Linked DNA regions of Arabidopsis thaliana. The protein of the gene in region 3 interacts with the protein of the main gene of each other region in a biochemical or structural test. Each region holds a gene or a part of one and is shown on either strand. Other genes may lie near its edges.

Region 1 (6,513 bases), on a different chromosome or scaffold from region 3:
TCTGAACTTGGACCAGAATGAAAAAGACAAGGATAAGCTTTCTTGTTCGATTCAAGCGCTTTGTGAGACACTAGAGAGTAGAATCACTGTGTCCATTTCTGCAGAATTCAAATCGTCTTCTCTGGCGTGGGCCGAGCTAGCGCTGGCCTCGCCTTCTAACGAAGACGACGATGATAGGAGTAAATAAAATTGGCTTTGTTGTTATGACATTGACATACACTTGTTCGAACATTTTTGCTTCAATTTTGCATTCGGTTTTGATAGCACCGACCATGCCTTGGATAAGTTATCAGGTAGGTTGTTACGGTCGGTCTATTGTTAATACCAATAAACTGGAGGTGTAATCTTGTATACCAAGTTCTTGACGAATGAAATTGTGTTGAGCCAAAAAAGAAAAAAATGACAGGTAGCTTGAAACTAGAGGAATACATCTGTGAACCGAATAAAAAGTTATAAACTCTCACCTTTTCAAACTAGTTTTGGACTTCAAACAACAATCAGAAAGAAAAAGTAAAAGTACAAAAAAGAGACAAAATCGTTGGCATCTGAAGTACAGGAGATGTTTGTTGTGTAGGAGAAACAAAGATCAGTGCATAGAACGAGAGTAATGGTTGTCATTAGGGTTTCTTTTCTGGCTGAAAACCGACATAGCTTTTCTCACAGGAGGCTGCAATGGCGCCTTTCTATCACTATGATGGTTCAAGAACACATCATCTGATACGAAGTACTCATCACCCTGCAAACAACAGCATAATTTACCTTAAGATTTCAATCAAAGTTACAGATTTGAGTTTGAGATAGAAGACACGAAGAGACTAACCGGTTTGCTTGCTTTCTTCTTGGTCCTAGGGTGGAGAAGCTTTTGAGGGAGTTGATCTTCCCGTAGAATCAGATTCTTGGTGATTGCCTCTCTTCCTCCTTTAGGCATTGGTATCGAATACTGCACAGAAAGAAAAGACACATGTATCAGGAGAAGTTTTTATCTGTGTATTAGGTTGCAGATTTTAAAGGAAACAAGGGTTTAAGTTTAAAGGCAGTAACAAATGACAAATTGATCATATACATGCCGGAAAACATGGTGGTTCTGTTCTCATGCTATTTCAAATAAAGAATACAAGATTCTTCACTAATACAGGAATTTTTGGTGTTTTGGTTAGCTTCTGCTTATAACAAGTTACTTACTTGGGTCCCTCGAAGTGTAATTCGTGGTTTACATGCAGCTATGATGGCGCCATTCGCGCCTATTGTAACCGCTACCTTGCGTAGAGTGCCACCATTCCCACATTTGGGACAGAAGATTCTTCCAATTTCAGGAGTTACTGTGTAGCAAGCATGGCATTTTAAGATCCACCTGAAGATGTCAATGCAATAAAGTGTAAGAATTGTATCTTTTTCAGTTAATGACCCTTGCTAAAGAAAAGTGTCTGACATTTGAACAAAAAAAAGGAAGATCTGATCAATTTAGAGTACCTATGCAGTTGGCGAATTTGCATTCCGCCGGGTGCAAGCAATCGCAAACCCATTTGAAGAATAACATTCTGCATTGCATAGTCACCAGTTATACAAGCTACACTGGACTCAGATAAAGCTCTCAATGACCAACTCTGCTCGCTGCTACCATCATCTCCAATCGATGATGCCTCGAAGGTATCCTCAGCCTCACTAGCAATCTCCAAGTTCTCTAGCGCTTGATTTGCAACATCGATCCCCTCAGCTTCGACTTCAATATCATGATCAATATCATCCTCACCATTGATCAAAGTTGCTTCAGCATTCGTCTCTTCAGTCTCTTCTTGGAGAGCCCTTAATGACTCTTCCTCCAACCTCATATCTTTAAGGATGGAAGATATATCCTCACCATTCTTTCCACTATCTTTTGCGTGGGTTTCATTGGCCTCTTTAGTGTGTCGAGCTTTGTCAGCTTCTTGATCTTTCTGAATTTCTTGTTCAGCCAAAGCATTGTAATGTTCCCACCTTGCCTTTCTTCTAAGATACTTTGAGTGAGTACTTCTACTGACTGCGGGTCTCCAATCACTAGCATCATCATCATCATCATATTGCCCCTGGGATGCATCAACTCCCTCCACTACCATCTTACCCTCAAGCTTAATCTCTGTTTTCTTGGGCGGGTATCGCCTATGCTTCTTCCCACCTTCCTGCACATCCTCTTCATGATTCTCAGTATGAGAGACAACAGAACCAACCTCAGAAACATTGTCTGAAGCAATAATATTCATGTTAAGGTCTTTCAATGGAAGGATTTTGGAGTTAGCGTTGGATTTTTCCTCAGTCTCGTTTTCAAGTGCCTCCCACTCCTCCAAGTTAGCCACATTGGAGCCCCAACCAGGTAAATCCTTCTCAGGTAATCTCTTAACTCTAACAGTTTGAATCGGTGGAGGAACATCTCTAAGATTTTTGGTGCCATAAACCTGAGCCTCAAGCGTGTATGACAAAGCAATCAACTTCAGATCAACATCAGACAGAGATTGCAAATCACCAGTAGCTCTTGCAAATTTGATAACTGCAGAACCAAAAACAATCAATCTCAGAGATACAATACAATCTTTTCTCCAACACAAGAATATACAAATACCTACTTAGGTACAAATTTCACAATCACAAGAATAAGAATCACAAAACTAATAAGTGTACCTTTACTTAGAGATTCAGGAGAAGGTTCCATGGTATCAATAGTGAAAGGGATGAAAGCGAGACGACGGCGAGAAGCAGGGTCACGAATCTCAGAGAGAACCTCAGGGACAGTTACGAATTTGTCGGCGAAGTTTGTTAAGCTCTGACGTCCTTCAATGATGGCGTTGGCGTCAACAACCGCAATAGATATTCCTTTTGTGGATTTGCAGTTTCCGACCATCCCGAGAATCGCTGCCGGAGCTCCGTCGTTAACCGGAGGCTTTGAAGGTGGATCTTTCTTCACAATTGAGCTCCACATCGAGGTTGGTTTCGGATCCATGGTTTTCGTTATTTGCCGCTTCAAATGTGGGTGGGTTTAACGAAGAGACTGAGAGATGGAGAGAAGAAGAAGAGTGTAAACAAAAACCTAGGTCAGATCCGAGACGACGTCGCTTTTTGTCCATAATTTTAAATGGGCCTCACAAGGCCCAAATAATTGCGTAGATGTATAAAATACTATCTGATTAGAGCTAGAATTTGAAGACTAGTATTAACCAAACCAAACTAGATCATATCAAGGGTTAATGATATCAAATTATAGTTGTGTTTCCTTTTTATCAACCCTTAACGGCTCTAGAACGTAAAATCTATGGAAATCGAATCTATGCAAATATATGGAAATCGAAACGAATCTATCTATGCACACATCTTTACGCGTTTTTTTATCACCGATCATCTATAAATATATCTAATTCTTTCTAACTATTTCATAGTTCATCATCTTTTTCACAAAGCCAAAGTTTGTCTTCGTGCTTTCTCTTAACTTTGAGCGTGAAAAAACACAGAGTTTGTCTTTGCAATCAACAAGAAGATGACTATGCGATCATCTTCACCTTCGTCCTCTTCTTCTTATTCACTCGCTTTCACAAGTTTGAGCAATAGGCTTGAGACCATCTTCAAGAAAGCTTCAGAGCTTTGCACTCTTTGTGATATCGAAGCCTGCGTTATCTATTACGGACCAGACGGAGAACTTAAGACATGGCCTAAGGAGAAAGAGAAAGTGAGAGACATTGCTCTTAGGTATAGTCTATTGAACGAAGCATTGAGACGCAAGAAAAGCGTTAATCTTCATGGGTTCCTGAACAAGAAGAAGAACAAGGGTTTGAAGAATCCGAACAAGAAGATGAAGACGAGTCTTAAGAACGTGAATATTTTAAAGTATCCACTCGCTGATCATTACCCTCCCGACCAAGTTTCTCCACTGATTCAGTCCTTGGAACTCCATGTCTCTAAATTCCAAGAAAGGCTTCGATTTCTTGAGTCGCAGAAACAGAATCAGACAAAACCGGATCATCAGAGTTTAACACCATCCTCTCTGAATCATTACACCCAATCTTTGAACCCTAGCCAGTTCTCGCTGTTTATGTATAACCATGGAGACAATACTCTGTCTCAGATCCCAGTCTCTGCATCAAATTTCAATCAGGATTATTTCTCAGCGTTACTTGAAGAATCTGAGTTGAAGAATCAGTTAATGAAGCCGGAGATTTGTGGTTATGATCAGAATCAGAACATGAGCATGGGTGACATCACAAACAACAAATTTCAAGATCCTTGCGTCTCAAACAAAGAAGCGGTACAAGAATCTGTCAACAACTTTGGGTTGAATCAATTGATGTACAAGGAGTTTTATGGTTGTGATCAAAACATGTCTATGGGTAACATCAATAGCAACAGCTTTCAAAATCCTTGCGTCTCAAACACACAACATTACTCGGCGGTAGAAGAATCTGTGAAGAACCCCTGGTTGAATCAGTTAATGCAGAATGAACTTTACGGTTACGGTTATGCAGGCTTTTGTTAAATTCTTATGATTTATTAAGAACATCTTGAATCAATTTGATGTGTTGTTGTTGATCTGTATTCAGCTATTGTAATAAATTTGAATCATCATCCCTAGAAACATTAATTACTAAAAGCCAATTTTATCTATTTCTGATTGCTCTCTATCATAATAAAGCCAAATTTCCAATAGACTCTCAACAGAGCAATAACCGTGGCTGAGTTCTGATTCCTCCACTTTGTCTTTGTCTTTTCTATTCACAGATATAACATCCTCTCTTTTCAAACCTGTTTCAGTGATTCTCTGTTCTAAGAAATAATAATCATCGCATGTTTATTAAACGGAACAACATAAGCATTACAGTTTCAGTAAACATGAGAACAGTGTGTGGGGGTGGGGTGGGGGGGGGGGTGGGGGTGGTGTTTGGACACTAATGTTTGCAAGCTTAAAGATAAATTGTGCAGGTGACTCTTCACACTACTGTTATTTTTTGTCTTGTGATGATGATTCCTTCCCTACCATAATGTCTGCACTCTGCAGCAACTTCCCTCTCCTCTTGACCTTTATCTTGTGATAGTCCCTCCCCTTCCATTATGTCAGCTGCAGTTTCCCACCCCTCTTGGCCTCTATCTCCTGATGGTTCCATAAGTTTCCATACTTCCATTATATTTCCACCTTGCTTTCCTTTGAGTTTTAGCAGTGCAGCTACCCACTTTTCTCGACCTTTACCAGCTAAAAACGATCCTAACAGTCTAAGGCCCAAAGGAAGTAAGCCAGTGAGATGGACAGCACAAACTGCGAGCTGGTTCAACTATAATTTACATATAAATCTAAACCTTCATGTTGTGATGTTCAAAATGCTCGGGTTCGGTAAAAACCTTTGATAAAGTGATTATTACATATAGTTCAAAAAACAAGTGATTATTACATTCCTTATTTTTCTTACAATGGAGAATAGGAGATAATCGGCTTTTCTTCAACGAACCAGTGACTGACCCCTGAAACCGGTTTTGCCAAAGTTTTGTTCTAAGTTCTTAGATCTTGGATTGAAGACCCGGTTTAGATAAGGTTCCCATCTCTCGCCGCTTCTGGAATCCTTCTTTGACTTTGAAAAGGATCTCATGGGTCTCATCAAAGTGAGGCATTGTTGCTTTTTTCGTATTCTCAATCCATTGTTCAACTTTCTTATGAGTGCTGAGCAATCTAAGACGATCTTTGTCATCCAAAACCTACAAAATTGCATAAATTTTACAATCAAAAGCCAAAACATAGCAAGGATTGGTATTTCGATGAATTAAAAAAACGCACAAAACAGTGAAATTAAGTGAGTACCTGCAGCTGCATAAGTTCGCATACAAGGCTGAGATCAGCTATAGATGGTTGGTTGCTTCCGAGCAAGAATTTAGCATTGCCCTTAAGCCAAAAAGTCTCTAGAGTGGACAGAGACTTTGTTAGTAACTGCTCAGCTTCAGCAGCTGCTTTCGGATTCAGAGGAAGACCGAGAGCTGGACCTAGTACACTATTCAGAACATATCCAGCTGCAACAGTAAAAACAACCGTAATCAGAACTATTTGACTCTATAACTTCTCAACATCGATGAATATAATGTACAATACCTGCACCACGACGTAAATTGGTGTGATGCCAATCCAAAACTGAGTGAATCTTGGCTCTTTTGGATAGATCATTTGGATACCTAAAAGTAAACAAATGAACATCAAAGCAAAATGATTACACTTTGTGTCAAACGAAGTAGAAACTTACCAATGATCAGCAACACTTGGAAACGCCGAGGATAGATATATCAGGATTGCGTGACTACGAAAAGAATCAACGGTTAAGATTCATAAAAAATGGTCAATAAACCAAAGCAAGAACCCAAAAGAGAATGAACTTTTGTGTTAACCTCTCAAAGAGCTTAAGCCTGCCATCAACAATAGCTGGAACTTTCCCCAATGGGTTAATATCTGAAGAACAAGACACATTTCTTAACAATATTTACATTAAGAAACAACACTAAGCATATATAGCCTTAGTC
Region 2 (7,108 bases), on a different chromosome or scaffold from region 3:
TCTCGCAAGTATAGATATTTGGTAATTAAGTTCCTTAGAATAGGTGATTATGTTGAGACGAGAACAGATCTTTTTTTTTTTTAATAATAGTTAAATTTGTTTCTTTTTCGTTGGGAGTTTAGTGCCTCGAGAAATATAGAGCTACTCAGAATGAAATTAATTGAAAACACTTATTTTTGTATAAATTATATTTTTTTTCATATCATCTTTTTTTTTTTTGTTAAAGAACAATTATCAATGTATACTTCTCTATCTTTTTTTCTTTTGATAGATTGGAATTGAGTGCCAACTAAGTGCAGAAGAACTGGCTCAACAAATTCAGCAAACATTCTGCTAGTAAAGAAGGATTTAATATAGCTTCGTATAAACCTTAACGAGAGAGCAGTACGTACTCACTTTCTCTCCTTAGTATCCCTTTAATTATCTTTTCAGTTTTCTGCAAAGATATGGAGTTTAAAAAAATAAAATTGTTATCTAAAGTTTTAATCAAATATTGATTAATTATAACTAATATAGGTATAAGTGAGTTTTAAAGATTATCAGCTTCATAACAGCCATCGTCATGTTTACTTTCTTTTAAATTTTAGAATTTAGACGTACTCCTACCATGTAATTTTATTTCTGTCATTACATCAAGCATTGTAGCTGTAATTGCATATGAATGAACAATAGTGTATGAGTGATCTCATGAATAATATTCTTCTTGCAACACAAAATGTTAAGGGATATATTTTTTTGTAAATAGAAAGAATGATTCTACATGCCGCAGCAAATGTTCTGAAAATCAAAAGAGTGGATGTTAAAAAAAAAAAAAAACTAAAATGATTGTACCTTTTATAAACTCTTAAAAGATGTTCTTTTTGGGTGAAAGTATGGATTATTTTGTCTCAAAAAAAGAATTATGTAAATATATACACATTTATATTGTATATATATATATATTTGTGTAAGAACTAATTTAAATGTCTCGTTTCACATTTTATCAGTAGAATCATATTTTACATCATGTTTGGGATGTGAGAAAATGTTTAATTGTTGTTATGCAACTATGCAAGGCAAGTCTGTGCACAAACTAATTTGGAATATGCAACTTAAACCACAATAAATTCGGATTTTACACAAACTAAGCTTATAATAAAATTATAGCCATGCTCATATTTTTTTGTAGATGTTGCATCCAATCTCAACATTTAGATGCAACATCGAATCATCCATGTTCAACATCAACATATTGTTGGGTTTAAAACTTTTGACTGTGAAACTTCGTGTGGCTGGTTTAGAGATCAACCAAACCCCAAAACTGATGGTGGTGAATATCCCTAGCTATTCAAATTGTAGTTTGTAGATATCCGATTTTTTTTTTTTTTCCGTCACTTTGTAGATATCCGAATTATCAATACATTCTCTGAAATGGATAGTCCTAACGCAGTGTATCCACTACTGGTGAACTTACAACTGGGCTGTAAAAACTGAAATTGGGCATTTTTTATCGGCCCATAGTTTTACCTTTACTTGTATTGGTCGAGTGACGTTGATAATCTGTCGTACCTTGTTAAATAATGGGCTAAAATAATTGGGACACTATTGGGCCTAAAAGCTTTAACTAAGATTGTGATTTGTGAGTTTATGTGAAACGACATATAGCTGAAGAATTGAATCGTTTGGTTCGTAATCATGAAAATCATATAATGGAAAATTCTATCCGTTAAATCCTGTCCATGAAAAGTTAGTTTTAGACGCAAACCGTCCGTTCATTAGTCGTTTACCAATGAGAATCACGTTTTTTAAATAGACGTTTAGGATGATCTCATATAGTACTTTTTATCGTGTTGGTAGAAAGTTTTCAAACTGATAATTTTTTGTATGAAAGGCAATACTATATATAGATTCTTTATTTCTTAAAACGTTTATAGAAAAATTAAGTTCATACTTCATACTTCATAGTCCTACATATATATAGCTAGTGCAAGCATGTAACACCTAATATTTAAGTGATTGTGAAAATAAGTGTTCATAACTTTTGGTTAGAATTGGATCGGGGTTTTTATTTTAGTTACATTTTTTTTAAAGTATAGATACATTATGTCATTAATTCTGTAATAATTTTTTTAAGTAGTTTCTTCAAAATATACTAGTCAACTATAACTAATGGAGTATTTCTTTTTTTTTTTTTACTATTTAAAATTATTGTCATTAGTTAAAATATTACCCAACCATTTTTGCACAAATGATCAGTTTCCTCTTGATAAGTTCTTTCAAAGGACTAAATCTAATACACAATTTTTTTTACTTTCTAATTACTGATGTATTAGAGAATATAAAATATATTAGAGAATATAAAATATAAAATGTTACTATATATAAAATTAAACTATAAAATATAAATGTATTAGAGAATGATACAATTTGTAAAACTTTTATATGTAATAAATAATTCTCAAATTTTTAAAATTACTACTTTAAAAATAAATCACGGGATGGGTAAAGAAATTACAGAACAGATTTTATTTTGGAATTGAGTTATATGGTGGATGTATTTGAATCAATATTTATAAATTTTTAAAATATTATTAATATGCTGTTTTAGTAAGGGTTAAAACTTCAGTTTTTTAACAATTGTCTCATGGATTCGTTGTATAGCGTTACTTAATAACAATTATAAACTGTAAAATAAAAATATTTTATAAAAATAAAATTTGCAAGTTTTAATATATATTAACTTTAAAAAGTAAATTATACCGCGATATACCGCGGATTAAAATCTAGTTGTGGATATAAAAGTCGTAGACGAGAAAATAAAAAAACCTAACCGCATGGATTAAAGTTGATTACCAAATGAAACCTATACTATAAAAATTATAAATGAAATAACAACAAAAAGAAAACAATAGATGATGAATTCTTCAAACTAACAAGAACCACTACTATACATCTATTATAATTTTTTTATTTTCTTTTTTCGTTGGCTTAAAAACAAAAACACTAGGAAGGATAGATAGAAAAGCGAGGACGGTGAGGCTTGGTATGTTTGTGGGAAGATGAGTGAAGCTGGCGTCGTTTATCAGCAAAGCCTTCACTGTTTCTCATTATCCAATATCTCTCTATCTCCTCTGGTTGTCTTCCAGGAACTCTTCCTGCTATCAAATCCCACCTAATTCAAAAGAAAAAAAAAAACATTTTTATCCCAAGCATTAGCATTTATATTTTCATAATAAAATATAATTTGTCAGTTCAAAAATTTCCATTTTTGAGCCAGCCAAGCATTTATATACATGAGTACGTACTGATAAGAATAGTAAATTAGGTTCTTATTTTTATCTCTATATATATGTGTGTACATATATAATTTAATGAACGTGATAGCTTTAATTAAATGTCTTTTTTTAGAAAATTAGTGGACACCATGTGCTTCCCCTACAACATGGTACACTGTACATATGTTATAAAGTACATATGCTTAAATTAACGTATGTAAAATTGTATATACCTGCATATTAAATTGTTTTAGCTAGACATGTCTAAAATATAAAATTTATTTTATGCTGGGATAATCTTAGAAAAAGTAGAAGAAGAAGAAATTGTTACCTATCACCGACAAGTCTGTACATTCGAAAGATGAGATCTTCTTCTTGTTCAGTCATGTTGATAAACTCCCATTCGATACTGCTCACTTCTGCAAATAACAATATTAAACCAATTAAACTCAAAACAATATTAAACTAACAAAAAAAGACAAATATAAACTTTTTAAAAAGATATTAATTTTTGTTAAAACTAGAAACTAATCTTGATAAGTCTTTTAGTCAGCACGAGGTGTAACTAATTTAGAAGTAATTAAACGTATCCCTCGTTTTAACGAATATATACAAAGAGAATATGATCCTAGCTAGGAACTAAATTTATTTTCAAGATGTTTAATAAAATTGGATTTAGGAAATAGAAAATATATAGAGAATAGAGAGGTACCTTCAGAGTCATGGAGGGCGATTTTGTGTTGCTTACGACGGCGACGACGGTCAGTGTTATCCATTACTATTGAAGTAAGAAAAGAAAAATAGAGAGAAATTAATGTGATGAAATTTTGAGTTTGGAGAATGTAAGGAAAAAAAGACGTGAGAGATGAGAGTTTATAGAGCGAACAAGAAGAAGAAGAGGGGAGGAGAGAGAAGGAAATGTCCAACGAACGGCCTTTGCAAAACTAATAGTAAGAAGTGTTGTGTGGTCTTGTTGACCTCTTACCCTTTGTGTAGACTTGTCGTTGACACTCAAATACACATGGAGATGAAGTCTTTTATTGGGATTTGTAAGTATTTTGAAGGCTAACTTTGTTCTCATTCGTAGATCCTAACAATTTTTTTTTTCCATTTATTCAATTTTTCTAAACCTACTATCTTTTTAGAATAATGGGATTTATTGATTTTTATTTGGCAGATGCAAGTTCAACGATGTTTTAGTTATTGATTTGTTGTTGTTCTTTCCATTTTTGTATTCAAGTCCAATTTGTATTTCTAAGAAAATTAGTTGTTATTAGGTTATTAGTTTTTCAAGTTTTTTTTTCAGGGTTGGACATACACACCAAACCGTACCGAATAAAAATTCTTGAACCAAAAATAAACTTATTTTTTTTTCCATATAGTAACAAATTAGTTTCACTATATACACTAAAATGAATCTAATTCGAACCTTAATCTAGTGCATGAAAATGAAACAAAATCTAATCGATCAAATTTATTAAAATTGTCCATTGTGTTTGTTATTAAACGCTATGTTTGAGCCAAAACACATACATATTTTGATAGTCATCATTGTCACTACAATTAGTTATTTTATTTTGATAGTTATTATAATGTAGGAATAAGTTAGATATCTTACAACTTTACTTAAAAGATAACGTCACCCAATATAAAACATGGGAATAATATTTATATCAATATATATAGAAAATACTTTTTAATATATTAATTAGATAGTTATTTATATTATTTTATTAATATTTTAAATAAACCAAACTAAAATTTATTTTAATTTAGAGAAATATTATTAAAATCGAAAAAACCAAACAAAACGGAAAATCGAAGGCCTATACCTAATATTCCCACTTAATATAGTACGTATGTTAATTAATTCATTAATCAACATGTTCATATTTTCATTCGTTATACAAGAAGTCTCATTCCCGATTGACTTTTCTTTCATCTCCACGAAGAGGTTGAAACAGAAATTTTTTGGCACAATAAAAAACATGATTCAGATTTTATCCCAAAATCACACAATGTTTTTAATATAATAATTCCACTTCTCCGAATAATTTAACATTTTAACCCCTGTTTTTTAATTCTACATTTGACATATGTTTTAATTCTAGAACAGTGACTAAGACATTACATACGACGCTGTATGGCAACTCCTTACACACGCGATTTAATGAGTGCTTCTGGAGAAATTCAATCTCTCACACATGATACAACCAAAATCCCTGATTTGCGTTTTCTTCGAAATATTTAAATCTATTATAAATCTGAATCGACCCATTAAACTAACGTATTTAATTCGAGTGAGAAACATCATATATAAAGTACGCTTCTCAATAAATTTTGTAAGAAAGTATACAATTACTATCATATTCTCACGAAAGAGATTTTCAAAATATAAAGTACCCTACCAGATAATTCATAATTGGATAAAAGATTAAACGGAAGAAATCTGTAGTCTACGGCGAAAGACATCGTGTGAGGCGAGTCATGTGATGTATATCGCATCATCCTCATTGCATAGAAACTGTGTATTATGTGATAGATTTGGAATTTTTTTAATAGGAAGCCTAGTTGGTAAAATATCTCTTTACTCGAAGCTTAAATACAATATAGCAATATAAATGATTTTCATAAACTTTTGATAAACAAATCAATTCGATATCGAAGAATGCATCAATGAAAATGTGTCTTTAGTTTGGAGCTAAAAGAACGAAATTGGTTTGCATAGCTAAACTAATGTCTAAAATTCTGGTACAAAAGGACAAAGATGTGATTACCTTTTCTATTATTTGATTATATCAACAACAACAAAGATGTGACATGTTGCCTCCTAGAAAGATTTTTCATAATAGCAATCACTATCCATTTCTCTTTCCACTTTAATTAAAATTAAAACTCTTGTACAAATTATTCTTTTTGGTTGAACAATAAATTTGATATTACACAAGAAAAGAAGATAGATTACTCGTAAAAGAACTGCTATTAAGGAATATTTTTGTAGTTAATAAGAAAGTTATAAGAGAAAGAAAAGAAATATTGAACCGATTTGAAACATGGTTGCAGCTGTTGGTAGATCAATTCAACTAACATTCTTAGGCCTAAATAAACATATATTTATTTGTAACGTATCGAATGATTACACATATTATACGAGTGCCCCCATACATGCATGTATATAGGAGTATTTTATATTTTATTAAACCTGGGTCATTAAAATATTAATTTAAACCCCACAAAGTAAAAGCTCGAATCAAATAATAAAACTTGTTGAACTGTAGATGTTTTGATTGGTTAACAACATTGTTGACAACATTTAAGGTGGTCCAATGAATGTTTCTGCTGCTTTCAGTTGGAAAAGCGTTATATACGAATTGAGTATATTCACTTAACCGCTTACACTCTTATGCAACATATGAGTATTTGCGGTTTTTAACAAGATGGAAAACGTGATATTTTAGAAGATGATAAGGTTTCTTCACTACATGACTATATATGAGTGAGTAGCCCCATCCACAAACAACATATGAAGTAAATTTATATTTGACTAACATTTAATAGGTCATAGAGTTATGAGAAATGAGGAGACGATGTAGTTTATTTCTTTTAGACTCGAATCGAATGAGGTGTGAAATTCCTTCTTCTTCTATTTTGTTCTATCGTATTTGTGAGTTGTTCTGGTTTTTTGGATCGATACGTTTTCATCCAGGGTAATTTTTTTTGTTGTTTTTGTATGAATGTTTGAATTTGATATATTGAGTTTTTGTTCTTATATTGATAATTTGTCATAGTTTGACATAGTTAAAATTTATAATAAATACTAATAAAAAATGAATCCATTAATGTATTTTAAAATT
Region 3 (8,999 bases):
AAATTAAAAATGAATTGAATAGAACTGAGGATAATTTAGTTCATGTTCCAACATTGTAATTCTCAACTATGAACTCTTGAATGGTTAAAAAGTAATATCATTTTTCGATATATGTATTTGTTTAACAATAAGTGGAACATGATCTAATTATTCACGGTTGATAATCCTTCTGAAAAAGAAACACATGCATGTAAAATTGGTTACGTAAAAAGTTATGTGTACTTTAGTAGATATTTATTCAGGATTTGTGGGGTAAATTTAACTTTCACATGAAAAACGTGTATGATATATATGTCCAAATTAATGTCCTTTTCTTTTTTAACGTTTTCTGTTGTGATTAAGAAGTGTTTACAAAGTCGGAAAATAAACCCAAAATTCCCTTATATTATAATTGGGTTCAAGCGTCATCTGCAAACAATTTTTTATTAAAAGAATTTGTTAGAGTTTCCGTTTGGTGCATTATGGTTACCATATATATAAAAAATTCACATTATCTGTTTCTGTAACAATAAAGTATGGGACGAAAGTATATAATCTCTTCTTAAACCAGAGATCAAAACATGTTGTTTATATAAATGGAATTATAGGCTTTGTAGTTAATTCCGCTTATTAAATCTTCGTACTGATAATATGGAAATTTGAAGTCCACATTAGTGATATATAGATGTATGATGGAATACTTTTAAAAAGTCTTATATTAGGAAAATCATTGAAACTTTATGGTCGATAAAGTGATGTGATCTGTGCATGGGTTGGTGCGAGCCATCGAAGAGAACAAATAATAGGACGAAATTGCAAACTGTTTTAAACCTGATAAAAAATATATGAATTACATACTACAAATGCAAGTCTCCTTTTTCATTCGTAAATAGAACACAACTCATAAACTGATGCTTTGCAAAAATTTAACATGGATTTAAAATGCAAAATGATTCCTATGAAAACAAAAAGAAAATGTGTGAGCTCCAATGATATAGAGGAGTCGAAAATAAAACTATAAATGGATGTGAATCTTCAGCATGTTTAAGACCACAAACCGTTTTATGAGAACAAAAAATATGTAGTTTGAACCGATTTTCTTTTCACTGGCGATTAGAAAAGACTTGTAATATAACTTTTCTTCGGACATTTTAACTTCCAATTTTATTAGTCAAGAGTTTTGTGACAATCTTCCTTTACGATCCTATAGTTTACATGAAACCAACTTTTTCTTTAATTTATATTTGTAGTGGTCATAATTTGAAGTCAAATTCCAAAGTTTGGCGGCATGATCCATTAGTATAATGTTAGTTTTTTTTCACTTTTAAACATGCACAAATTCAATTAGTATTTCTACTAAATAATGTAAAAACAGTGTAGCCTAATTGCTTTAACCAATCTGGCGTCTGTGGACTTTGTTCGCCATATATACATCAACTTTTTGCAGTTTCTTTTTCTTATCGAGACTGTAGTTTGGAGTTGGTGAGTAAGCTCCCTGGAGCTCACTTTACTCGACCATACCATTATTTCTGACCTCTTTTTCAAAAACCCGATTTTGTTCATTTTTTTTCTTCTTCTTTTTGTCGTTTTATTTATTTTATTTTGTCGTTATGAGATTAGTCCAAGAATGGTATCAATTCAGATGGACCATGGAATATAAATAATAGATATTAGGTTAGTCTTCGTCATTAAAAAGCCAACTAACACAGCATTATTATTATGTGTGCTAATTTTTTAGTCTTATCTTTTTTACTTTTAAGAAGTCGAGTATGTTCTTCAGGTTAATATAATTTATTATATAAGACCCAATATCCCGGTTTGACCTGGACCGGATCATACCAATCACACAAACTCTCCCAAAGTACTGAAGCAAAGTGAATACTGAATAGTATATAAATAATTTCAAAATATGAGTGTTTAAAGAAAAGAGAGAAACAAAAAAATTACATGGAGATCGATGTTTTTATTTAAAGTTTCATCAAACCCCCAAAACTATTAAATACAACAAATCAAACCCAACCACGAAGATAGATGTGGATGAATGGAGAAACCAATTTCTTTTCACCAGAAAACTTTCGTGAAAAAAGAAAAGAAAAGAAAAAAAATAACTAAATCATTTTTAAGAATTGTGAAGAGAAGCAACTTTATCAGTAAGCTCTGCAACTGTTTCATTATCTTCTTCCTCAGCTATGGTATCCTGCAAACAAAGAGAAAAGAACAACAGTAAGCAAACTTCATCGTCATGTTCCTTTTCAAGATCTTCTGTTTTTCTTTCTTTCTTTCTTTACTAACTAACCTCTTTGTCAGTTTTAGATTGGACACCAATGCATTTAGAACCGCTGATGCTTGCACTCTTCATGAGGTTACGAGCACTGTAACCTCCTCCATTGTCTGCTTCCTCGGATTCCAAGGTTGAAGCCACAGCAGCTGCTGCTCTTCTCTCAACATCACTGCTTTCTTCTGCAGTTTCACCATTTGGAGCAGGAACTCTCTCTCTGCAACATCATCATAGAGAAGCACAATGCTCTCAGAGGGAGATTGAGAAGAGAAGAGAAGAGATAGAGAGATTCTGTGAAAGACATTACCTTGGCAAGGAAGCATGATGTCTGTGAAGTGCAGTACTTCTTCCTCCTCCTGCTGCTCCTGGTTTACCTTGATTTTCTTCAAGATGAGCAAATTGCCTTTTAAATCGGTCTACCCCACTGCGCGTAAACAACAAAAAGATTTATCGAGTTCATAACTTTCTGTTTTCAAGACTTATAGTTTCTGTTAACTGTTAATTAGCTAACCTTGGGTACATAAAGCTAAGCTGATCACCACCACGAAGGTATTCCTCCAACATCTGAGGATGATATTCCAATATCTGATATTTACAAAATCCAAAGAAAAGTGATTGTTAGGATCAATGAATAACATTGAAACAAATTCAGATTAAAGAAAAGGATATATGTAGAAGGCTTTTGTGTTTGTTTGTTACCTCTCGGTAAATTAATTCTCTGACATCATCTTTAACTAACTTCTTTCTCTCAAAGTCAAATTCAAGCTTTGAAATTGGCTGTGTTGTTGGTTCACGCTCTGAATTTGACAAACCACTGAAATATGGATCAGCTAGTGCCTGTAATATGAAAATCAAAAACGACGAATATAAGAGTTTCGTTCTGTATAAAACAAAAGGGAAAAGTAAAGCAAATTTACTTCTCACTTACATCTTCAGCTGATGCACGATCTTTCGGATCAAAGGCAAGCAGGCGTTCCAGAAGGCGGAGAGCCAAAGGATCAGCTTTAGGGAATTTATGAGAGAAAGGGACTGGTTGTTTTTTCCTCATGCTGCTAAGATATCTCCTCGCCTTTTCATTTCTAATCTGTAGAAGTCCAAGATTGCAAAGCTCATTACAAGGATTAAATTACTCTCAATGATGTATGGAACATTAAATTTGCTACAGAAAATATGAACAAGTGTTTTGAGTGACTAACCCTTGATATTGACTCAGGAGGTGGAGTACCAAGAAAGTCAGTCATTAGATCCAATTGGTGCACAACGTTTTTCCCGGGAAACAAAGGCTTACCCAAAAGCATTTCCGCAAAAATGCAACCGACACTCCAGATATCAATCGCAGGGGTATACTGAAATATAACAAGAGTAGACTTAGCTTGAGATGGCTGGTCTTCTCAACAACACTATAGAACCACACAACAATATTCTACAAAATAGAAAACTAGAAGCATTTTCCTGGTAGGGAGAAATAGCAAGAGTAGTTGGGTTTGGTGAAAAAGAATCTTACTTTGGAGAAAAACGATCCACAGAGTTCAGGGGCACGATACCACCGAGTAGCTACATAATCCTACAAAATCCATATAAACGAAATGAGCTCACAAGCATTTGAAAATAGTTAAGAGGAAGCCTAATGAACAGTTTTGCTTTCACATTGAGTTAGATGACTCACAGTCCAAAATATAGCGGTTGGGGCATCGTTAAAAGAAACGCGAGCCAGCCCAAAATCACAGATCTTCAATTTGCAATCAGCATTAGCTAGAATGTTCTTCGGTTTCAAATCCCGATGAAACACATTAGCTGAAAACAGAGAACCCTTAAGTGTTTCAATATTATCTATAACAAAAATCATGAGGATCGAAAGAGACCAATGTGTAAAACCAGAAACTAACCTGCGTGAACATATTTCAGACCACGAAGAAGCTGGTACAAGAAAAACTGATAATGCTCAGGAGTCAAATCATCATTCGCCTTGATCACTTGATGAAGATCAGATTCCATCAACTCAAAGACAACATAAATATCGCGGAATTCTCTGCGAGAAGGAGGTAACATGATGTGTTTAATCTCCACAACATCAGGATGACGAAGCAACCGAAGCAATTTGATCTCTCTGAGAATCCTAGTAGCATCGGAGACATGCTCAAACACATCGTTGATCTTCTTGATCGCAACTCTCTCTCCAGTGTGTGAGTCAACAGCAGAAGCCACAACACCATAACTTCCTTTGCCAACAACCTCTTGAATCTGATACCTGTTAGCTTCTCCATACTCCGTGAAGAATTCAGTTTCACCCTGAAGAATTTTATTCATGATTCATACTTAAAATTGACCAAAATGATGGATCAAGACAATAAGATCAATCAAACGAAACACAAAACTGAAACTTTATCCTTTTGTGGAAGCAAATGCAATAACACAGAACATTAAGAGAACAAAACAAGTCTCTTCAATCTCAATCAAAAGACAACATCTAAGAGCAAATAGCATAAAAGGGTAGAGAAGGAGAAGAAGAAAGGTACCTTCTTGTGAGGATCCATAGGTAAATGATTACGTTTAGGAACGTTAATAAGCGTTAGACCAGAGAAATCGAGATCTTCTTCAATAATAAGCTCTCCAGAGTTAGCGGAATGATTGGGGTTAGAGGAAGAAGAGAAAGAAGAAGAATTGAAAATGGGTTGTTCGTGATTATTATTATTATTGTTGGAAGAAGAAGAAGAAGAAGAAGAAGAAGGTCGCTGAAAAAGCCATCGACGAACACCGTCGACGAGATTCCCACCACCACCCATAGACCACTACTAGATTAGAAAAGAAAAAGATTAGTAATTTACAAAATTGGGTATCCGAAATTCCTTGAGAGCCAAACAATTACCGTCAAGTCACCGTCTTTCTCGCCGCGTCTCTCGGTTTTGTCCTTCGGAGTTGGAGACCATGTTCTTCTCCTATTTTTTCATTTTTTTTTTAATTTTCTTTTTATGTTTTTTTCATTATTTATGCTCAGATATTTATTTTTTTCCCCTGCTTGATTATTAGAGAGAGTGAGTGGAGGGAGAAGAACAAAATATTTAAACCTTTGGAATATTTCGACGACCCGGTTTGTCTATACCGGTTAATGATAACCTGATTCGGGCATATGCATTTATTGAGTATATGGGCCTACAAAGCGGCCCATACAATAAATGTATTTTCGTTCAATCACTAAACGGATTAAACTCAACCGGACAAGGTTCGAAATTAAGAAGATGTTAGATGTTACATTACAAACCGGAATTAAAAGTCTAATTATGAATCTGAGACACAAAAAAAGAGAGAGTAAAAACGCCTTGCTCGTTCGGTCGCGTTGATGATATGAACATATATTTCATCATGAGCTGAGCAGGTCCAGGAGTCTGTTGCGGTTCGAGCACATCATAGTTATTGGGTCATAAATGAATCCGACAGTAGCGTAATCTAAGCATTTTTTAGTGAATAATACGCTTGATGATATATGTGATATGTCATGGGAGGATAATGCATAAGGTGGTGAGCGAAGCATTTTTTCAGCCAAAAAGACAAAATTTTATTTGAATAAATGATATCAAACAAATCCAGATACGCGAAGGAATATTGAATATGGAAAGCACGATCGTAAACAATTCTGCGATTTATCATTTCTTATTTTTTTTAACAAAATGTACGGTTTTGCATGATATATTTGCATTAAAAATGAATTGGTAAGTTTTTAAATAGCTCTATATTTGCATTAAGCTTTGACTGATTGTACAAAAAATAGAGTAATTTTTTAATTACAGTAGCAAAAAAAAGCAAAACAAAATTCAATTCTCTCCAGCTCAAAAATCCACTCTTCATCCTCTACTATACTCGTATCTATCTATCTACTCTACTCTGTTTTACGTAAGTTTTTTTTAGTTGATTTTCTTTTGTCGGACTTTAAGAGAGAGAAAGTGGCGTCTTTGTGGACTTTCTCAATTCAGGAGAGAGTCAAAGAGAAGGAAGAGGCTTCGCTTACTTGCTGAGAAAAAAGCTCCAAACTTTCTCTTATTGGGTTTTTGATCAGCTCCGGAGATAAAAAAAAAAAGTATTTTCTTGAAATCGAAATCTGATCTCCATTGAGAGTCTTGCTACTTGATTTGGATTCCGATTTAAGGTTTTCTCGAGAATTCTTTTGCTGCAGTTATTAGATTTTGACGAGCCGTTGATCTGGACGGAGTTCCAGATCTCCGGGTCGTGGTACCAAGGAATTAGGGTTTTAGCACAAAGTTCTCGTTTTTCTGTGTATTCGAGGGATGAAGGAGTTTTCGGGTCGATGTTCGCTGCTCTAACATTTGGAGTATGAAGATGAACATGAAGAAATTTCTCAAAAAGCTTCGTATCACGCCCAATCAACGAGACGATGGTGAAGGTTCAGTCTCTAACAGAAGCAATAAGTCTAGTGATGCAGAACCATCTCCTTCTGATTCATTGAGGTCTCAAGATAACTCTGAATTCAAACCCTTTTTGGGTTTATCAAATTGGTTAAGCTCTGTTACTCACAGGAAAAGCCCTTCTTCTTCCAATGCCACCAATAGCAAAGAGGATGACACTACCATGGAACATGGTGGTCCCGTTGGGTCGGAATCTGGGATGCAGGGTTTGGGTTCTAGTAGTAATTCCAAGGATCCAGAAGTTGAAGAAGAATATCAGATACAGTTGGCTCTAGAGTTAAGTGCTAGGGAGGATCCTGAAGCTGCTCAGATTGAGGCTATGAAGCAGTTCAGCTTAGGTTCTCGTCCTTCTGCTCCCGAGAATACTCCAGCTGAACTCATGGCATATAGATATTGGGTGAGTTTTTAACTCATTGCTAGACATAGAAACAAATTTCCAATTCACTTAAGCGACAATAGACTATGCTTGAAACAAAATGTGTTAAGTTGATTATAAGTTTATAACTCTTTTCTGTCTCTTCTAACCAATTTTACATCATCTGGAATTTTGCAGAATTATAACTGTCTTGGCTATGATGACAAGATTGTGGATGGTTTCTATGACCTGTGTGGAGTAATGAATGAATCTTCCTTAAAAAGAATACCTCCCTTAGTTGATCTTCAGGGGACACTTGTGTCAGATGGTGTAACTTGGGATGCTGTTCTAGTGAACAGCAGCAAAGATTCTAATCTGTTGAGACTTGAACAAATGGCTCTTGATATTGCAGCAAAATCAAAGTCAGCGTCTTCTTCAGGGTTTGTGAACAGTGAATTGGTAAGGCAACTGGCAGTTTTAGTTGCTGATTACATGGGTGGACCAGTTTTGGATCCAGATAGCACGTTAAGAGCTTGGTGGAGTCTGAGCTACAGCTTGAAAGCAACCCTCCGTAGCATGGTTCTGCCCCTGGGTTCTCTAACTATTGGATTGGCTCGTCATCGTGCCTTGTTATTCAAAGTATGTACCATGCCCTCATTCACTTTTGCTTTCTGTGAAAATTAGCATAAGAGGGGTATTTTTTGTGATCGCATGACTGTTAAAGCTTCTTGCAGTTTGGTGAATGTTTGAAATTGTGTTCAAAATTGCCCCTGTTTCTCTGACTATATTTATTACATACAAAGCGTATGGCACCTCTAAACGCTTTGTGGTGTTTTGTTTCTTCTTTCTTATGAGACTTTGTAGGTTTTGTGTGATAGTGTCGGCGTTCCTTGTCGAATAGTCAAAGGACAGCAATATACCGGTTCAGATGATGTGGCAATGAACTCCATTAAGACTGATGATGGCAGGTGACTTTCAAATTAAATTCAATCGCTGTGTAATTTTAACAATTTCTCTATCATTTGGAGAGAAAATATATATATATATTGTCACCAAATGTGTGCGTGTAAAAAATGAAACTATGTGCATATGGACTTGGGGTGTGTGTGCTATTTATAGCTAACTCACATCTCTGAAAAGGTTAGAGCAAATACTGAGGCTTGATAAAAGTGTAACTTTCTTTGGTCTAAGCAACAATACTCTTTAGAAATGAAAGTACGATTAAGCATGTTTCATGCTTTGTACAGTGGTTCTTTCTATTGTTATTGCAGTCTGCAGTTGCAAATTATTTTCCTTAACGAATCCAAATGTGAATTTCAGGGAGTACATTGTTGATCTCATGGGAGATCCAGGCACGCTTATCCCCGCTGATGCAGCTGGACTACAAATGGACTTTGATGATTCTGTCTACTCTGCCAGTCCCAGAGATGTTGATTCATCTCATGTAGCTTCTTCCAGCAGTGGGGTCGAGAGCTCAATTGAAGAACACACAGAATCTTGGTCAGCGGAACATCGTTCTAGGACCAAGGGTTCCCGGGAGGAAAACCAATCTGCAGGTGGAGGGGATCTCATGATTCCAAATATTAGGGAAGCTGTGGGAAGTCAAAAGGCTCCTGTTCAACATCTTTCCAGCAAGCCTACTCATTCTTTCACTCATGCCAGATCACCTTCGTGGACTGAAGGTGTTAGCTCTCCAGCTGGACGCAGGATGAAAGTCAAAGATGTTTCACAATATATGATTGATGCTGCCAAAGAGAATCCACAACTAGCTCAGAAGCTTCATGATGTGTTACTTGAAAGTGGAGTTGTAGCTCCTCGAAATTTATTTTCGGAAGTCTATTCAGAGTCAATGGAGGCAACAGGTGAAATCAAATCTGTGGCTGAATCCAATGATGAGAAAGGGAAAGATTTTGGAACAATCCAGCAAGGAAGAAACCAGAGCAACCTTGGCCCTGTGAGGTTTTTGCCT
Region 4 (7,185 bases), on a different chromosome or scaffold from region 3:
AAATCACTTTTAAAACCCAGTGGTCAAATTTTATGTTCATAAGCATAAACCTCTGGCTCAGGCAGAGTCTTTGGAATAATATCCAAATTATTTAGCAATAAAAAAAAAGAAACACAAAGACATTGACAAGAGAACATTAACTGAAAACATGAGTAACAACATCTCTTTCATAATTTTCTATGTAAAAGGTAATCAAACAATGCTCGTATATGTTCACAATTGATCTAAGGATCAGTTTACAAAAGGAACACCAGAAGGAACTCTCTGCGCATACTCCACATACTGTCTCCCAAAAAATTGCTTCAAGTAATGCTCCTCATAAGGTATTCTCTCTGCAAAGAACCGCCACACCACAACCGCAAACGCAATCGCTGAAATTGGATTACAGAGCATTACTTGCGTTCCCACAGACCAAATGAGAAACCCGGAGTAACTCGGATGCCTCATGATTTGATACACTCCTTCTGTCACAAGCTTATGATGCTCCTCCCGGCGAATTTTTATAAGGTGTGTGAACGATCTACCTGCTGTGATTATCGCGGTTTTGCGAAGGATTTCTCCAAGTATGATCATTGTAAGACCGAAATTGCTGATCCACCAGTGTTGTTTCAGCCCCGGGAAGAAAACAATCTCGGCTATGTACTCGAGGACTGATATTAGCATTGCTAAAGCATAGTGTTTGCTGATTAAGAGTGAGCTTAAAGTTACTTTCGATGCTCCGTGAATGGCTATGGCGAGAATGTACTCCGATGTGTGGAAGAAGATTATCGCCAGGAACATTTGAGTTAACTGTCTGAACCCGGTGTCACTAAATATCTCTGTCATTGAGTCTTCACAAGATTACTTAGACCTGAAAAAACATGCGAGTAACAGACCCGAGAAGGTCAAAGAACATCATTAGCCAAAAGATGGGAAACAACAAGCATTCAAGTAAAATCCAATCCAACTCACTTCACCAAAGATTTTTTAAAACCAAATCACAGGAACACTAATGTCAATCAATGTAACAAATCTCACATTAATGTTCTTCTAACACTAAACTACAATGTTTCTTAATCCAACAATTGATCTATGACAAGCATTCAAAACACAGTTTTCACATGAGAATTGAAGATCTTACTCAAAGAATTACAAACAGATATGTATAGCTGATGAATAGTACGGGATTTTTTTCTATTCTGTCTATACTTACTAATACTAAAATTTCACGGAATCACAAAATTCTAATCACTAATTTCTTCAATTAGGCTTTTCGTCCTCGTTTTCTGTAACTCAACTGTCAAACCACGAGAAACGAAGAATTGAGCAGGAACCGTAAACGCTACGAAGATCTAAGACATACCCAGTTGAAATTGACGGCTGCTACGAGGGAAAATGCGAGAAAGACTGGAAATTTCGCAGAGGCTGACAGTGAGAATCGCGTGGACTTTGAAGGAGAGAAGCAAAGTCTACACCTTTACCCTTTATTCTTTGCTTGCTATAATCAAGGAATTACTTTTGTAAACACAGAGATCTCTTCTGTTCCGTCTGATCTTCCCCGATAAGAAAAGTCTTGTTTGAATCAAGGAGCTTCCGGTCAAAATCGATGAGAAGAAACGTTGCAGGATCACCGAAATTTCAAGAACCAGACTATTTTAGGGTTACCGGTTCGAGACGGTTTGATCCAATGGTCCCCTATCGGTTTGTTCCGGTTATAACTGATAACGATGAGTTAAATTGAAGTATTTCTTTTGTGTTTGAAGCTTACGATTATACTGCTCTGGATAGTGGATGGGCTTGTTATTAGTTTTAAAAGTTTTTGGTGGAACCTGAATTATCATCCGGACCGGCTCCGTTAACCCGAGTTCAAATTTGTTTCCTTTACTACGAAAGAGTAAATAGTGGGACAACTTCATTAACGAACGAACCATAATAGAATTCATGCTTAAAACTAACGGGACAACTTCAAATTTGTTTCTTTTGCTGTTTCTTTAGTTTTCTAAAGAGACTTGATTGAATGGCAATGATCACTAGTTAAACGACTTCTCTGTTTCGCTAGTAAAAACAGAGCTTTTATAGCGTTTTAGGTACAACAATCAATCAATCTCTCTCTCTTTCTATCACTCTCCGAAACAAATTAACGAGACCAAATATTCTTAAACCCTAAAACCCTAATCAAACAAGCAATAAGCTTAAATTAAGTAAAAAAGGAGCAAAAGAAACCGCAAATTAGAGGTACTTTCTAAACACTTTCGATGACATAAAACATAGGAATTTTTCTATACATTACCAAAAAGACAATACCATTTCTCAACGTGGTTCGTGGTCGTCTTCCCTCCGACCCGACCCGTTAGCTCCACCAGACAAAGAAGCAAGCAAATTGAGATGATGACCCGGAAGATAATTCCCAACTCTAGCTGCTGAAGCCTCACCCATTGCAGCTGCTGCGGCGGCGGAAGCTTGCTGTTGCTGCTGGTGGCGGACGAAGAGTGTAGCTGGTTGCTGCTGCTGCGCAAAAACCATTTCCGGTGGAGCTCCGGTTGCAAAGCTCCAGACTTGTCCGAAATCCGGCCTCGCCGGAACAGCCCAAAACCCACCAGAACCACCACCACCCATTAACGAAGTCCCCATTGTGTGTCCCACTGTTAACCCTCCTCCTCCTCCGCCGCCGGATTCTCCTTCCTCCGCTCTGACGACACGTTTCCCGAGAGTAAACGGAGAAGAAGTGGAGAGAGAAGCAGTGGAGAAACTCGCCGGAGTAGTGCCAGTTCCAGTGGCGGCTATGATAGAAGGCTCAGCTTGACGGAGAAGCCACTCTATGGTTTGACCATCGGACTTGTGACCTAACTCTCTGGTCAATTGAAAAACTCGAGCTGCGCAAATGATTGGCATACGAATCCTTCTTCCTCTTCCGTCAACTTTGCTGTGTCGATCTTTAGACGGTGGTTTCTTAACGGCGTTAAGAGGTCCTTTGTTTGACGTCTGCTCGACTATGATGCCGTTACTCACTGCTCCGTCGTTGTCGGCCATGGAATTAGGATTTCGTTATCACTATCTAACTCTCTCTCGAGGAGAAGAAGAAGAAGAAGAAGAAGAAGGAGGTAATGATTTGAGAGGAAGCTAGGCTGGTGGAGACAGGAAGGAGAGCACATGGCTGGTGGGGTCCCACACAGCTCACTTCTGCTAGGTTTTTTTAATTTGTCCGGACGCGGTTGAAGCTCACGCGCTTGACTCCGGTGTTGACTATAGCGTTGGACCACGGTCGGGCAGGAGAATTTAAGTTTTTAGGTTTAGGAGTTAGTTGGGGTCCCCATTTATATGGTTGCTTGAATTACATTAGCTAATTTACGAGTAATTAGGATTCGTAGAAAATAAGTAGCGTTACAAGAATAATATGAATTCGATTTTGGTTTTTACTAATTCTTATTACTTCTGTGACATGTAACCACAACAATGCTGATTTTTACCTTTATTTCTTATCGATAAAATTTGTTTTAGAATGAAGTAGTATATGTTTTATGCTTTGTAACCACAGTAATCATACACGTTTACCTCATGAGTTTAATGCATTTTATAGGATGTAGGGAAATTAGATTGCAATTAAGACAAAAGCTGTTTCCAGTTTCCACAATAGTTGAAAAGATGAGGAATAAGAGACAATCAATGGTGGTAATTGATTGGTGAGTATACTTTACACCTACACTGATTACGATTCTATTTTGTACGATTTTAATTTATTTATTTTTAGTCATTTATAATTTCACATCTACTAATTTGTGATTGTCTCTTATTTTTTATTTTTTATTTAACTTCTAGGATAAATAAATAGCTCAAATAAAAGAAATGACAATTACGCGCTTTATGACACAGGTTACTAATCTGAGTATAACCCAACCACTGTGACCCCCACACGATATGCGTTCGTGTGTGCAATTTGTATAATCAAAATTCTTATTACCCATTAAGCAATAATAAAACAAATCATTCCATTTGGAGCGTGGCATAATAAAAGTAGCCGTGCCCACCTGGCAGATATGCCGATTTTGATATGTCGTTGCGTCGAGATTTTTTAAATTGTTTCGCGACAATAATTTCTTTCATGATGAATATATAATGCACATTATACTATATTATCGTCTTAATATTTGTTATATGATTGTGAAATCCTTTAACAGAAATAATTGTTATGATGATTGCCGTACCCATACGATACAACCATGAGTGATGTTTAAATGCCTTTTTTTAAAAACTATACCCAAGCCAACTTCTTAAAGTTGTCGATATAATACGTGAAGGTGCTATCAAAAGCGATGAAAAGAATATTTTTGTGCATGCTTAAAGTATGATAGATAGTAAAAACTTGAAACTACGACGCACAGCTGAGGAACCACCAAACTAGAGACTCGTAGAGAAATTTTAGTCACATTTCGTAGCTACTTGCTAGGATTCAATTGAACTAGCTAGTTCTTAAAAGAAAACGTTGCCACAAAAGCTTACATACAAATTGTATGATACAATTGACAATTATTAATGACCGGCGCATGTTAAAAGTTATATTGAGTGATTAACTGGGATTTGAATGATTAGTTGTGGGGTTAGCTGGATAAATGCATAGAAATTTTTAATGATCACCAATTTACCAAAAATGCTTATAGTATATTCTAATCTTTTTATTTTATTTTAAAATAGTAATATGTGTACGAATCATTTGACAATTGTCAAATGTGTTAAACAGCTGGAGCCCATTCTCATCTGCCTTTATTTATTAATGGGAATTTGTATAGAATTATTAGTATGGGGGTTGGTGGACGAAAATACAAGAAAGTGACACTTCTGTCAAAAGAGAATCAACTCGTGTTTCATACAAATATCTTCTTTTCTAGTTTTCTCATTTGGCGATGCCTCTCTAGATTTTCTTAGCTTACTCCACCAATCAGAATAATCCACGTCATCTCGTTTTTTTAAACTGAGAGGATCGCTTTATCTTCTGCCATCTATTTGACTAGCGTGACTAAAAGACGTTCAGAGACCAACTCGCTTTGTAGTTTGTTGTATTTGGTATTTGTTTGATACTAAATTACTAATCATGTGAACTGTGAACGATTCTGACTTTGGTATAACTCAAAATTCTCTAGTGACTTGATTTTTATCAAACGATATACATGCAACGTAAAGATTAACGCAAACAATCGAAACTTTAATCCTAATCACCTGTTTAGAACTCGTTACAAATAACTCATAAAACCAGGTTGTTTTAAGGCTCGCTTGGAATGACATTAAAGAAATGGTAGATCTCTTCACTGTCAACTACTCCGATCTCTGTGGAACAAGCTGAGCAAAAGACCGGGTTAACTTTTTCGCTATCTTCAGAACCAGTTTCTTGCATCTCGGAATCTCTCCTTCTTTTACCAACCTTTAAGGGCATTGTATTCTGTTGCAAAACTGTGTCTGTACCTACTTTGCAATTGACCACAAAGACTGCTCTGTACTGTGTCACATACTGCTCGTGCCTGCAAAAGTTTTACTCAGATTGTCTTAATTTGGTTCCGCAGTTTATAATACTAAAACCAAGTTCAAAGAAGTGCAAAGGGATCAAGTCATAAACAAAACAATATCATCGGATTGAAGAGGAAAGAAAGAAATCCATTGTGATAAAGTCCTTATATTAGTCTATCGCATGAGTGTTGTAATAGCCTAGGCGGTGTGTAGTGGATAGTAGTTGTATCAGCAATCTTTGAGTTAGTTAGCTACAGAGCTAGCAGCTAGAAAAGGTAGTTCTGGATTTACCTATGGGTTTTGGGATTGGGAATTGGACTGAGAGTAGAAATTTTTCTCGTTAATCAAGTCATATAACTGGTTTGGATTCTACCAAGATTGTCATTCCTAACAAAAACCTAGAGCCTGTAACAATTGTCAAGAATCTCATAATCAAGTCAACATTCCAGAATCTAGCAAGTTACTATCAATATATTAGCAAACACATTGGTGAGGATTGAACAATGGAGCCCTAGCAACATTGAGAAAGCAAAGCCTGGATGGGATATAACAATCGTATGAAGATAAAACACCAAGTTCTGATGTTGAGAGAGGAAAATACCTCTGACACTCTAAGCAGACAGTGGTGAAACAAGCTGGACAGCTAAGAAGAGCATCAGAAGTACGACCATCTCTCTTCTTATCCATCCAAAGCTCATCTTTATCATCAATATCTGAATCATAGAACTCCGGTTTGATGGAGTAATCAACTTCCTCGTCATCCGAAACTGTTACAAGGTAGTAGACAAGAAGAAGTTAGGCCTCATCAAATCAATATACAGAAAATAGACATACTTGTCCTTCTGATTCCACATTATTACAAAATAACTTGAAATCTAAACTTGAACACAAGAACACAAATCTCTTGAATACTGAAGAAACAACTTCTCTTTTCGCAATCTATGGCATCAATTAGCTTACGAATAGCAACATCAATTACACCATAAAGATTCAGAAACTTAGCTAAATACTAAATAGCTCAAGGTCTCAATACGATGGATGACAAAAAAAGCAAAAGAGAGATCATATTAACCGAAACCTATGAGAAATCCATGGATGAAGGAACGAAACAACAAAGGGATTGAGTCGAATCGGCCAGCGAGTGAAAGGGTTTGAGCGTATTAAAGGTTTTATTTTACCTGTTTTCTGTGAATTGGTCGGAGAAGCCATGGTTTTAAGATTCGATCTTCACTGCTAGTGTAATATACGACAGCTCTTGGTTAAGCTTAGCTCAGCGTCGAGCTCCGACGGTGCAGTCAAATCGGAGGTTCACCGACGAAGACGATGACAAACTTCGTTTTATATAACTTACAGTGGCTTCTAATTGGGCTTACAAATTGTTCAGATGGAAAGATATATGGGCCTTAAGAAATTAAGAAGCCCATTTCGTAAAAATCAGTATTTAATTTTAGCCTTTAAGGTGTTTTGTTATTTGCAACAAGAAGAAGTTGTCTGTACAACAGAGCATGAAGGGGTTTGAATTTTCCAATAGACTAAATAAAACGTTACCATAGAATTACCAAAAACAAGTTTAAACGGATACCATCGTATCTTCACAATCAATCAAAGAATACATTCATATCCTTGAATATATCAATCCTCTAATTATGTATATTCATATATTTACATTAATTGTGATTAGTTACCTCTACGTGTATATAAACATCTCAT

Evidence for each region.
Region 1: of the proteins of ATMPK8 (region 3) and AGL75, one has a biochemical effect on the other in vitro, tested with the Arabidopsis thaliana proteins (one large-scale study listed by BioGRID).
Region 2: of the proteins of ATMPK8 (region 3) and TRY, one has a biochemical effect on the other in vitro, tested with the Arabidopsis thaliana proteins (one large-scale study listed by BioGRID).
Region 4: of the proteins of ATMPK8 (region 3) and TCP11, one has a biochemical effect on the other in vitro, tested with the Arabidopsis thaliana proteins (one large-scale study listed by BioGRID).

Annotation. Positions count from the first base shown.
Region 1 is NC_003076.8:16,487,042-16,493,554, forward strand, and holds AGL75 (AGAMOUS-like 75), read left to right. Parts: upstream 1-3,502; coding exon 3,503-4,495; downstream 4,496-6,513. Other genes in the region: AT5G41180 (leucine-rich repeat transmembrane protein kinase family protein), read left to right, coding at 1-187; AT5G41190 (RNA-binding NOB1-like protein), read right to left, coding at 587-736, 821-940, 1,183-1,351, 1,471-2,521, 2,653-2,971; GSTT1 (glutathione S-transferase THETA 1), read right to left, coding at 5,509-5,703, 5,807-6,012, 6,092-6,171, 6,240-6,293, 6,382-6,442. UniProt on the Arabidopsis thaliana protein: Probable transcription factor that may function in the maintenance of the proper function of the central cell in pollen tube attraction.
Region 2 is NC_003076.8:21,579,835-21,586,942, reverse strand, and holds TRY (Homeodomain-like superfamily protein), read right to left. Parts: upstream 4,330-7,108; 5' UTR 4,031-4,329; coding exon 3,967-4,030; intron 3,674-3,966; coding exon 3,586-3,673; intron 3,152-3,585; coding exon 2,983-3,151; 3' UTR 2,700-2,982; downstream 1-2,699. Other genes in the region: SPCH (basic helix-loop-helix (bHLH) DNA-binding superfamily protein), read left to right, coding at 272-337. UniProt on the Arabidopsis thaliana protein: Transcription factor. Involved in epidermal cell fate specification. Negative regulator of trichome development, including endoreplication, by lateral inhibition involving intercellular interactions.
Region 3 is NC_003070.9:6,242,543-6,251,541, forward strand, and holds ATMPK8 (Protein kinase superfamily protein), read right to left. Parts: upstream 5,271-8,999; 5' UTR 5,124-5,270; exon of another isoform or gene 5,050-5,123; 5' UTR 5,041-5,049; coding exon 4,774-5,040; intron 4,547-4,773; coding exon 4,144-4,546; intron 4,052-4,143; coding exon 3,924-4,051; intron 3,822-3,923; coding exon 3,762-3,821; intron 3,604-3,761; coding exon 3,454-3,603; intron 3,342-3,453; coding exon 3,186-3,341; intron 3,095-3,185; coding exon 2,957-3,094; intron 2,843-2,956; coding exon 2,769-2,842; intron 2,682-2,768; coding exon 2,565-2,681; intron 2,475-2,564; coding exon 2,276-2,474; intron 2,177-2,275; coding exon 2,099-2,176; 3' UTR 1,756-2,098; downstream 1-1,755. Other genes in the region: AT1G18160 (Protein kinase superfamily protein), read left to right, coding at 6,584-7,072, 7,229-7,669, 7,895-7,998, 8,351-8,999. UniProt on the Arabidopsis thaliana protein: MKK3-MPK8 and CAMs-MPK8 modules negatively regulates ROS accumulation through controlling expression of the RBOHD gene during wounding.
Region 4 is NC_003076.8:2,676,652-2,683,836, reverse strand, and holds TCP11 (TCP family transcription factor), read right to left. Parts: upstream 3,437-7,185; 5' UTR 3,010-3,436; coding exon 2,290-3,009; 3' UTR 1,844-2,289; downstream 1-1,843. Other genes in the region: ATSTE14B (Isoprenylcysteine carboxyl methyltransferase (ICMT) family), read right to left, coding at 232-825; AT5G08320 (E2F-associated phosphoprotein), read right to left, coding at 5,234-5,489, 6,077-6,242, 6,654-6,684. UniProt on the Arabidopsis thaliana protein: Transcription factor involved in the regulation of the circadian clock. Acts as a repressor of CCA1 by binding to its promoter. No binding to the LHY promoter.